Schizosaccharomyces pombe: one gene and its partners. The gene in region 2 interacts genetically with the main gene of each other region. Each region holds a gene or a part of one and is shown on either strand. Other genes may lie near its edges.

Region 1 (4,286 bases), on a different chromosome or scaffold from region 2:
GTGGGATTTGTACAGAGCTATCAAGGGAATGGAAACAAAACGTGAAATTGGTGGCTATACATACAAGGTGGTGTTTTACGAAAATGTTTTTCAAGATTCCATTCTATTAGGGTAGGTGTAGATTTGCTTTGGTATGTGTTTGCTAACAACTCTAGAAATTTTGCCTCGCAGGAAGGAAATGTTCTAAAGTATGAAAATGGTCAAAGTTGCTGGAATGGTCCTCATAGATCTGCCATTGTTACTGTTGAATGTGGAGTAGAAAATGAGATTGTTAGTGTACTGGAGGCTCAGAAATGTGAGTATTTAATCAAAATGAAGAGCCCTGCTGCGTGCTCCCCTGATCAACTCAAGCAGTCTTTACTCAACACCCAAAACAGCGCAAACGAAAATGCTGTTAATGGAATGGAAGACAAGGAATCATCTGTCGATGAGTTATAATATAATATCGCTTATGCCATTTAAATAAATTACTACATTCAACTCATGGTCGTCTCTACAGTAAATTACGCCTATTTTTTTTAAGCATTTTGAAAATATACAACAACGTTTATTGAAATATCCAGAACTGATGATGAACTTCGATTCCGTTCATATACGTATAAACACATAAACTGTTAAAACAATGCTGTTATCGTCTTTTAAAAAACCAAATAAATTTTGTTGGTTTCTACCAATATAAAACCCGAGAATGATGTAAAACACTGCTGGGGTAAAGAACGAAGCAGCATGCCATGAATAAACAAAATAACAATGCCAGACGTGTAGTCCAAATATTTTACACTGCAACTTAAGTAACGAGCGATGAGTGAAAATGAAAAGACTTTCCAGAGTCCATAAATCACAATCGGACCGTTCAAACGGGAAATATGCTAAAAAGGTAAACGTTTCAAAGGTGATATCTAACCGGCCATATCACTGCAGCATTTGAAAATAAATACATTTGCAGCAACTCAAATATTAAGTAAGGGTAGATGGGGAAACGGAAAGGTGTAGACAGGGATTGTAATAACGATCGCAGAGAATTTTGCAAGAGATGGATGAAAGGAAATGAAAATGAATAAGAATAACGTGGATAAAGGGTGAAAAAGGTAAAATTGTACAAACTATACAAGTCCAAGGAAGAAAGGTTTAAAAGAAAAGAAACAGAAAAAAAAGGGGTAAGCAAAAGGATTATGGTTAGAACAGTCAAGATACTAGAAGAATAAAAGAATATCATTAAAACCAAGTAATGAAAAACATGATTTTTTAAAAGAAAAAAACTTTTCATGCAACAAGGAAGAATGACCGTTGATCAATGTCTATTGCCAAGAACAGGAATCAAAACACCACATAAAACAGCAACGATTACACAAATGATAACAACACAAATACCAAAGCAAATCCACTTTTTCTTACGAGCTGCTCTAGCGCTCTTGATAGCTCTATCCATATGCTGAGTTCCTTCACCCATATTCGTGCGAACGTTAACAGCATCCGTTACAATTTTATCCACCATTGGTTCTTGCTCCTGTACCATAGTAGCCATATCCTGGAAAAGCTGTGCAAGTTCAGCAATGGTTCTTTCAATTCTTTTAATATCGGCATGACGCTCCTGGACTTCCCGTAATGCAGTGCGAGCTTCACCAGACCGATTTGATCGAAGCAAAGCCTGAGCAAATACTTGTCCACCATTTTCTTCATTTATAGCGGTTTGAAAATCATCTTCAGTAGCCCTGGGGTTGGCAATTTCAAGCTGCCGACGCATACGTTGTTCATATTGAGCACGATATGTCTTTTCTATTTGTAAAAAGTGACGAATTTGGTCCATAAATTTCTTTTTTACAGCTTCGGTCTGTGTTTTTCTGGTGGCTGTGTCATTATCGGGTGGCAGCTGCATATTTTGAGACTCTAATGACCGGATGGCCAACTGAACGCTAGTTTGGAGACGTCGAGTATCTGATGTGTAACCTTCTAAATGGCGAGTCGTAGCTGCAATATTTGCTTCGTCAATTTCTTGCAGCGATTGTTGATGCAACATCTCAATTCGACCGACATTATCTTCGATTTGACGAATGGCATCGCGAATATGATCGATCTCTTCAAAAAACTCTCCCATACTAAGAGGGATCATCTCCACTCCTAGTGTATAATCGTTTGCTTTATTCATTTTGTTATATTTATCTGTTTAAACCCGTTTTGTTGAACAAACAAGGTATAGATACCTTCTGTTGTTGTTGGTTAAAGACAAGAACGTTTTTCCTACTAAAAATAAAGAATCATACAGCAGCATTTAACGAATGTTTTCGCAGACAATGGTAAACAAAAGGCGGCTTAGCAACAACACACTGTTGAAAGTCCGCCAATCATAATCAAATCCGAGCTTTGTGTGACGTAGCAGTGTTTACTTTTTAATGTTGTACAATACAATCCGTTAAACTTGATATCAAAAATATACGCCTAATACTTAAAAATTGAATTCCAAGGAAGTTGGAGTTTGTTAAAATCACAATAGGATACTCTCCTCGTTATTTGGACTTGTATGAGGTACGAATAAGGAGTGAAGTTTTCTTGATATTCTGGTTGAAAAGAAAGATTTTTGCTGTAGTTTATTTCAAGAAATGCATAAAAAATATTTAATTGTTTTTCGTAGTTGATGGAGTTGACTGTCTCGGAATTAATCGTTCTTTTTTGTTTTTGTTTTTTAACACTAAAAGCAATCATGGTTTGAATGCCATTGGAAACGAGAAAGGAATGCTGAAAATTTTAGTTATCATTGTCGGTAATTTTTCTCTGATCTATACTTCTAGGTTTGAATTTGAAACAGAAGTAATCGATATCCTAAGTGATTTTCTTTGAGTAATTAAAAAGATAGTAACTATATACCTCAATATAGGTAGAAATATTTTGACATTAATGAATAAATTAAAATAGAAATTGTAGCCCCTCCAATCCCTAAGCTGTTATGGTTGAAAAGCAATTCGCATCATGTAACATTACAACGTTGCTAATGGAATAAAACAAAAGTCCTGAACAGAAATTTCAAATATTTTACTAAAGTTTTAAAGGTTTAGTAAATGGAACAATATTTTGATGGGACCAGGTCATAATGTATGGTATCGTAGATTTAAAAAATACACAAAATTTGATGACTTCAATGCAAAACATTAAACTCAGAGATTGGATGCACCAAAGAAGAAAAGAGACTATACACATATTTTGTAGTTTTAGAGGGGGATGGCAAAAAGGTATGAAGCATGTGTGTATACGGAAGCTCAATTACCAATCCTTTCTGGACTTCGTATAAAGTATATAATAGTCCGGATGAATTACTTTTCCTGATCTAAATTTTTTCTCTTGGGGAGATGACTCATGAGGTACAAAATCAAAATGATGATAGAAATTCAAGGCGTTTAAATTGGCGCTAAATACTGTCAGGAAAATATATTTTAGGTTTCGTCGATATGCAAGTATACTTGCATTTTTTAATAACCATTTCCCAACGTTCCTCCCTCGTATATGCTCATCTAGCTGTATCTCATATATGTATAAACAAGTCAGACCTGCTTCCACAGTGTCTTCAAAACTCAGAAATCCTACCAATTTTTTCGAGGTTTTTTCAAAAATACAAATATACTCTAATTTTTCCATCTCCATTTCCTTCAATTTCTCTGAATCATCCCATCCGAAGGAGCTTTGTCGATATAGTGCTTCCATGTTCTTTTTTACCAAATTGAAACATTGCTGAAGAAGTCCTTTTTCTAGATGATGATATATCTCCACCCAAACCCCTAAGTTTTTTAAAAAATCAACGTCTTCGAGTGTAACATTCTTGATTTCCTGGGTCTTCATACGTCTGGGTGAGTAAAAGAGGTATTGCTTCAAAAAATGCATAATGTTGTTAAGGTATCAATATCACATTACACTTTTAAAAACCAAAGATTGAATAAGGGTTTAATACATATCGAGCAAAATGCTATCATTTTTATTATTGTTGCTACAGCAAGCCTACTTAGTAATACACGATAACAAAAAATGAATATTCTTAATCATCTAATAATTCCTATTTCCAATAATCGTTTTAAGCCGTATCCTTTATTCAAATAACAGCAGTTGTATTAATTTAGAGCTTGACTTCTGATGAAACCGGAAGAGACCTTAAACGCAATATGCAACTTTAAAATATATATATAGTTTCCAAAGATAGAAAGAAACTTGCAAACAAAAAAAAACTTTTACAAACAATTTCGGGGTCATTAACGCGTATATTTCAATTAGCATGATTTAACTTCAAGGCATTTTAGCAGATA
Region 2 (4,299 bases):
TCGCCCTGTAAGCGTAAACTAATATGGTTGAGGTATCATTATTATTTCACACAAGTAAACTTAGCGAACATTCGCTAAAAGATAATGTTGATTTTGCTTTAAAAGCAGTCAAATAAAAAAAATACATTTTTAATTAATCATGATTCCAGTCATCAAATATGCAAGAAAGTATTTTATTTGAAACTTCAAAACTTGATATTCTTATAGTTTTAAAGAATTCATTTGTATTAGTTTTGTGCTGAGATTGTAAAGCAGCTTATTACTTTTATCGTTGAAGCGTTTAAAAGATCATTGTTTATTCCAGCAAATAGTTAAGGAAAATTAATTAAAGGCAGACAAATCGAGCTTCCCTTTTATGTGGTTTACAATGTTAATTATGCGATTAAGACCTTTATTCCACATGAGTTTGAGTATTTAAGTATGTGTCAGAAGCTTACAAAAGCATACTAAAGTAAAAGAAAAATCATGTACTTTAGCAATTTGTATATTCCTATGATACTATGCTGCGAACATAATTATCATGTGATTCAATTTTTTGAAATCCCCAATATGAACCAGAAATGTAGCTTAATGTTGTATGTTGATGTGATCACATAATTAAGAAACAACTTAATTTTGTTCATATAAAATCGGTTGCAAAAAAAAGGAAAGCGTTTAACAATTATCCTTTAAAGACACTAGCAAACTGCCACTTTAGAAGCAAAAAATAATAAACCATTATCATTTAACATTATGAAAGCAGAAGTTACTTTGGAACAGCTTTAACTCAATTAGTTTTTACTCTGTCAACAGTGTAATAATTTCAATACTTTATACTAATGTTTTAAATTAATTAAAACTAAATCTCGGTCACTTTTACCAAAGTAAAAATAGGAGATACTATGTCGTAAATCGGGGCATCTTCAAAAAATATACAAATATCATTATAAAACAAAATTTCAAAATTTAACGAAACAAAATCTCCACCTTACTAAATTAGTCCATCGGAAAGACAGAAAAATGAAGGATAGTTGGAAAACTATTTTACAGACATACAAAGGGTCTTTGTAATTATTGAGAGTAAAAAATATATATTTACTTCTGTGGCATCAGAAAGATAACGCATAAATTTTTATTCAACAATTTTTTTCAGATAAAAATATATGTTCTCATCATATGCCTGAATTAATGAAAATTTCAGGATGTGTTTATATAGTTTTTCTGAATCTGACGAGATACACAAACACTTGCTTTAAACTCTATCATTTATAAATTAGAAAAACACAAAATATTTTGAATTATTCATTTAAAGGATGTAAAATTTTGACTGTTCGCAAATTTCAAAAATAATTGTAATTTCCACTAATGGTAAGCAAACTATGCTAAATGTACTTCGAAAGCTTTCGTACTCTAAAAATAGAATGGCCCAATAACATTGATATAAAGTGCTAGTCAAAAAGAAAACAACACTAGCGTATGGCTCCATTGTTTAAATTCTATGATGAAAAGTAGAAAGATTGCTTTCTTAAAAAACGCCAACGTAGAACCCAATATGGCATGGATACTTTCAGAAAATTACTGGATTGAGTTTAAGCAAGAGAGTCAGTCGGCAGCCGACTGTTCATAAAGTCTTGGTAATTTAAATATATTTGTTTTGAAATTTAACGCGACATAGCGTAGAGTAGTTAATGTTCCGGAAATTGATTACAGTGCTTACCGTTTGCCATAATTTGTGCTCGGAAGCTTTGTTTGGTTCTGCAAGTTATTTATTTCATAATAATTTATGGGATTTTAAAGAGGAAGGTGATTAACTTGCCGCCATTTCGTAAAGCAAGCAATTGCATTTCTTGGTTAGTAGCATACTAACCCTTAATTATTCTACAATTTGTATTGAGAAACCCTACATCTGACGATTAAATTTTGTAACTCAATCGAACTATCTGCAACTTAAAACTTTTGCTTACGCCACCCTTCTCGACTCATCTTGGTGTGCACTTTAAGTTAAAGAATGAAGAAGCTGTTTAAAAAGAAGAAGGGTGTTAGCCCGCACATGTATATGCTTCCCGAGGAATCCAACTCCAATACGGCAACCAATGCTCCCTCATATTCGGTCGGTGGAACCACGGCTAATTCATATTCTTCCAATAGTTATAACGACAATAACAACAGCAATAGTACATATGGCTCATCCAACAATTATGGAAATTATGGTTCCTCCAACAATTATGGGAGCTACGGTGCCTCTAACACCTATGGAAGCAATGGTTCTTCCAACAATTATGGAAACTACGGTGCAACAAATTCCAATGGAGATGCTGGGTATTCCATTACTCCAATTCGTAATGACCCCTACGCTAGAAAAGACATGCCACCAATGAAATCTTCTGCTGCAGTTACGGAGAGGCCCAGCATGCATCGTTCTGCTCCCAGTCAAGACACTTTAGATCTCAAAAAACAGGAATTGTTCGCAGGAGCACGTATCCAAAACGATGATGAGTCCACAACGGATACTATTCCCCACAATGATGATGGTACTGAAGGAGATGAATATGGCGAAGGATACCGTGATGGATATGAGGAGGATCAAGAAGTCGAGGCCATCAAACAAAAGATTCAATTTGTCAAACAGGATAGTTTGTCAAGTACGAGAAATGCTTTGCTTATGGCAGGAAATGCCGAACAAATGGGTCTAGCTACGTTAGCCAATTTGGGAGAGCAAACCGAGAAAATTGCCACTGCTGAAAAAGAGTTGGATATTTCAAAAATACATGCTAAAAGGGCAGAAGAACAAGCTCGGGAACTGAAAACGCTTAATCGAAGCATGTTTGCTATTCATGTGCCAAAACCATGGGGAAAGGCAAAGAGAGTCGCTGCTGAAGAAGCTCGTTTGGCCGCAAAAAGAGATGCTGAACGTCAAGATGAAATGCTGAATCGCCAATTCGCATATCGATCTCAGAAACGCATAGATCAGGCTATGAAAGACAACATGAAATCAAATAAAAAGAAGGGTGACTCAAAGGGTGTTTCCATTTTAGAGCGTTCTCATTACCAGTTTGAGCCAGATGCCGAGGATGATGCTATGGAGAAGGAGATTGATGGCAATTTGGACCAAATAGGAGCACTGGCAACTCGATTGAAAGGTTTAGCTTATGCAACAGGACAAGAAATTGATTCACAAAACGCTCGTCTTGGTTCTATTCATGATAAAAGTGATCGCCTCGATACTGATGTATATCTGAACGTTGAACGACTTCGCCATATCCATTGATTTTTTTTAAACCACCAATCGTCTGTATTAGCTCTTTCTTGCTATCTGAATATTGTGCTGTCCTTTTATAATTTTTTAATCCAATACCATTCGCGGTAGCCTATTCGTGTTGCAAGTAACTATTGCAAACTAATTAGATGTTGCAGCTTTGATAGTGGTATTGACTGTTAGTTTTTATTCTATTTTTTTGTGCTGAGTACGAAATGAAGTGAATCCATATCACATAGGCATTTTCGATTTCCATGTTTTTGAGCTATTTCGGTATGCATTAATGATTTGTCAATCGATGGCAGTTTCTTTATTTCATTGCTCGCCAATGTCAAGTCAATTTTAATAGACATTTTTAACCTATATCATCGAAACCTTTATACGCAGCAATATCAGAGTAGATGTATATGATGCATCCAATTTAAAGCATGTGTCCTTACGATTATACTATCAATAGTTTTTTTAACCGGTTTAAATGCAATTAATACAATCAATATGACAATGTAAACCGTTAATAATTTGTTAGAGAGTTTTACTAATTTCCAATAATTTAGGGCAAATGGTTGAACATGAAAGTACTTTGATATCTTCCCTATAGAAATAGCCTTTTATTATTTAATTTGTTAGTTCATCCAATATAAAATATTATATTAAGCGATCTGTGAAATTGAGAAGATAACGCAAGATCTCGCTTACAGTTTACTCTAAACTGTTGTGATATTTCGTTAGCCAATTATATTGTACAAAACTACGTGAAAAGGCATAAAACTCATAGCTAACCAAAACTACGAGAAAAGCAGGTTTATTCTGTTAAGTAAATGTATTTGAATCTCTTTGAGTATAAGTAAATTGCATTAAAAAACGTTGTAGTAATGGTAAAATCAATGACTAAAACAAATGTAGAAATATCAAAAGGTTGCTAGTACACTATTTTCTTTACAAGTACTTTTCATTAACAGCCTTACGTTCATCAAAAATAGCAAGAGCTTCTTGAGCAGCTTTGATGCCGCTAAACATCATACCACCGAAGGTTGGTCCCATACGGTTGGCACCATCAAATTCAG
Region 3 (3,712 bases), on a different chromosome or scaffold from region 2:
TACACTTCTAACTATAGGTAGCACTTGTTACCTAAGGAACCGTAGTAAAAATGTAGGTTATAATCATCTTTGTTTTGATAAATATCAAGAGTTGTTGTGATTCCCTGGTTTTTCACAATCTATTTACATATCAAACTTATATATTTTTTAAATTTTCTGGTTAGTATCATTATAAGCGTAATTCTAGTAAGGAAGACAATTACAATTTATTAAAATTATATACAAATATTTGAAGATATATTTAATTCAATCACTCAGTAAAAGTGAACGATTTAATATATGTAGTTTATTATTATATTTCAACGAGAATTCATACAAACAATATTACAAAAAAATCTGTTGATTTTTTCAATCATCTAAATTATTAAAATATTGGGCTATTATTATCTATTCTTCAGACTAAAGCATTTTAAGGGGAGCAAATATACTACTTTCTGATACAATTAAATTCTAAATTACGTTAAGTTACATTGATAGTAAACAAAAACAAATGCAGTACTGTTGAACCCAGTTGATGAATATATCTTAATTCGTAAACCGTGCTGCATTCAAAATTTAAAATACTACACGAATGAAGGATTAGACCACAATATCTGTTGAGCAAAATAGAAGTCGAAAAATAATACAATTGTTAATCTGGATATAAAACCACGTGTGAGCAAACTTAAAAAATATTTCCTAATTATCAGGTTTACACATTTCACTCTATAAAATTAATTAAGAATAGTGGTTTTTTAATACACCTATCAGTGCAATAATCAGTATAAAAAGAAGCTAGCTTCTAAAGGAAAAATATGAAAATAAGATAACAAATTTGCTCCCGTACTAAGTACTTTTGAAGAATTAGAAAAAAGCCGTAGACAAATGGAATATCGAGGCTAATCTGTATACATTAAAACATTATCCATCTTTATGCTATAGGGTTATCCATATAAAGAGCGGAATAGAAAAGAAATACCGAGAAGGAAACAAAAATTCTATTTACCATCTTAAGTACGGAAAGTAATGATAATTTTGTATCCATAAAGATTTCCTTTGTCAAGCAAGCAAGGCCCATGATATGTATGGTGAGGTGTAGAAAGAAGAAAAGAGGAAAAAGCAATACAGGCCAAAACCAAATTGCTCAACAAAAAACCAACCTGGTATTCACTATCATTGACCCGTCAGTCATCAAGTATGTATATGCAAGAAAAATAAAAACGAATAAAGGATCTTGAGAAAAAATGCGTTATCTCTTTGCAAAAAAAGTGGCCCTGTCTACATCAGAAGCTTTTTTCTTAAAATTCGATTTATAGGTTGTTGTGTCAGGCAAGAGAGAAAGAAAGAGAGAAGGAAGAAAAAAACCAGAGACAAAAATACGCTTGAAAAAAAAGTATTCAAACAGCAAATATTTTGACTCGGCATGCGACTAAGCTACATGATACATCTTCTTACTTGCCATGAAATTTTGTTGCGATAGGAACAATAATGACAACAAGTAAAATGATGATACCAATGATAATGCAAAGACGCATACGCATGTCCTTCCACCACATCTTCTTGCGAACACGATTGGCGCCACGACGGAAGCCTTGCGCGCTAACAGCAAGGTTATCTTAAAGAAGTTAGCTAAACGTTCAAAAAAAAAATTTAACTGTTAACAAAAATAAATATCATACCTGTTTTATCTTGTAAAGAATCAAGGCGTTCTCCACGTTCTGAAACCTTAGAAATGTTTTCACGCATAATCCCCACAGTATCGTCAATCTGCTGCTGAATTGCAGCTGTCTTCATATTCGGCGTCGACGAAGCAGCAGCATTTCCACTACGAACAGCTGCAGAAGGCTCCGCCGGGATATATGGGTCATATGGCTCAGACATGGTCGTATGTGTTAGTTGGTGGAGGATTTATTTTTGCGCTCGGTTGGAGTTGATGTGTACCAATTCGTTAATCCTCTTTCCATTGCGTTAAACATCTGGCTTTGTAATGTTGGGTTGCAAAGCAGTTTTGTGATTATACTTATATAAATTAAAGAAAAAAAATAAAATAAAGTAATAAAATTACTTCTTGCCTTTTTACAATAAGAAACATGTAACTAGCTGTACCCTCATAGTAAATAACGTAAACAAATCCTTAGTATTGGTGAATTTGGGAGGAACCAACTACGCCCTTTGGAATAGAGATTTGGAAACACGTCTTGTTTCTTGGCGATTTGAGCTGTTCATAACAATATATTTCTTCTTCTAAATTTCCTTGAGTTATGAAATTTTTATGAAAGTTTTAACTTTCACATAGTGTTAAAAGGTCTCCTCTCATCGCTGTAGCGTCCGAAACGTTATTTGTTATTTTATTCTTGAGATCTTTTGTAAATAAAATTTTATTTACGTTACGATTTACGTCTGGATTAGGGTTTTGGTTTTGGCACTTGCAATATTAGATTTTTCCTGGGTTTTTGGTCTATCGGTGAAACAACGTTTATTTGGGTCCATTTAATCATACATTTATTAGAAAAAAGTCTTTAAAAAAGAGACAATACTCACTTACCTACATTTCTTTTGTTTGTTTTTTTGTTTTCACTCTTTTATCAGAAAAACAGGTTGAAATTTCCAAAAAAAATATTATTTACTTCATAACATTAAAAAAATATTAAATTTGATTGTTACAAATGGCGGAGAATCTTAGCGATCAAGATTGTTTTGAAAAATTATCGTCTAGTAAAGAGGGTCAGCATTGGTTTTGCTCAGGACTACTGACTCAGTATATACAACCTACCTTCTTTTGGTTTGCACATGATGAAACTCCGAGCTTTAAATGGGTATTAAATGCCTATCATGAGCGTTTACGCTCTTGTACTTCTTGTATACAAGCTTATTATGAACTTCGAAATGAATCCCTTGCGAAAGGTTCATATTCTTTTACTGGGTTTTCAATTACCGATTTACAGGAAAAGTGGAATAAATGGGATATTATCCGTGTCTTAGAGGACTTCAAGGCCCTGGAGGATGAAACAATTGACTTCACGTCTTTGCCTTGCTTAATTTTCGAAACCCTCTTGAATCCTAAATTGTTTACCTGTAAAAATATTTATAAAAATGCAATAGATGCATTTAATGGTCTACTTTCAGATTGGTGTTCTAATATATTTCTTCCTGGTTATTTACTATTTTTCTATGAAGCTTCCCATCCCGATGTTTTGGAATGGGTTCATAGCTTTTTTAAGGAAAATACTGAAATAAGAATTTCTTCTGCTACAGTTGACGCCGTTTTTAATACTGTAGTGTTTGAAAGTCAAAATTCCTCTGACAGTGATTGTAATTTCGTGTCTATAAGTAGTCCTGAATTTTGGGAACGTACTTACATGTTTTTAGAACTTCTTCCTTTACAATCCATTACTGCTGCATGTGAGTCCATTTTAAAAGATTATCTTTTAAATTTGGTAAAGACTTCTGAATCTCTATCCTCTCAACAAATGTCCTGTCTTCGAATTTGCTGCAATTCCTCATCCTTTTGGTCTGCCGCTGATTCATTTAAGGAAGTGTCTTCTTTCTTAAAAAACTTGCTAAAAAATGTTACAGCTACACCTTTTGAAGTATCTGACATGAACTGGGCTTACATTATTGCTTCATTTTTTCGCACATGTTTAAATGACTTTGTTAGTGTTTTTCCGGAATGGCTTAAAGGATTTGTAGAAGAGAAGCGTACTATAGGTTTCATCATTTATTCGGTTTTGGA

What was found.
Region 1: of sec9 (region 2) and psy1, extra expression of one rescues a mutant of the other (dosage rescue), as found in Schizosaccharomyces pombe (2 studies listed by BioGRID).
Region 3: of sec9 (region 2) and syb1, extra expression of one rescues a mutant of the other (dosage rescue), as found in Schizosaccharomyces pombe (one study listed by BioGRID).

The regions. Positions count from the first base shown.
Region 1 is NC_003421.2:1,027,001-1,031,286, forward strand, and holds psy1 (plasma membrane SNARE Psy1), read right to left. Parts: upstream 2,220-4,286; 5' UTR 2,147-2,219; coding exon 1,292-2,146; 3' UTR 501-1,291; downstream 1-500. Other genes in the region: glucosidase II beta subunit Gbs1, read left to right, coding at 1-111, 156-438; putative histone N-acetyltransferase Naa40, read right to left, coding at 3,256-3,828.
Region 2 is NC_003423.3:3,941,433-3,945,731, reverse strand, and holds sec9 (protein transport protein), read left to right. Parts: upstream 1-1,694; 5' UTR 1,695-1,987; coding exon 1,988-3,247; 3' UTR 3,248-3,748; downstream 3,749-4,299. Other genes in the region: thi2 (thiazole biosynthetic enzyme), read right to left, coding at 4,172-4,299. UniProt on the Schizosaccharomyces pombe protein: Has a role in cell separation, a final step of cytokinesis and in the assembly of the forespore membrane. May have a role in the transport of secretory proteins to these growing sites.
Region 3 is NC_003424.3:3,266,459-3,270,170, reverse strand, and holds syb1 (synaptobrevin family receptor), read right to left. Parts: upstream 1,881-3,712; 5' UTR 1,861-1,880; coding exon 1,659-1,860; intron 1,595-1,658; coding exon 1,431-1,594; 3' UTR 501-1,430; downstream 1-500. Other genes in the region: helicase Sen1, read left to right, coding at 2,646-3,712.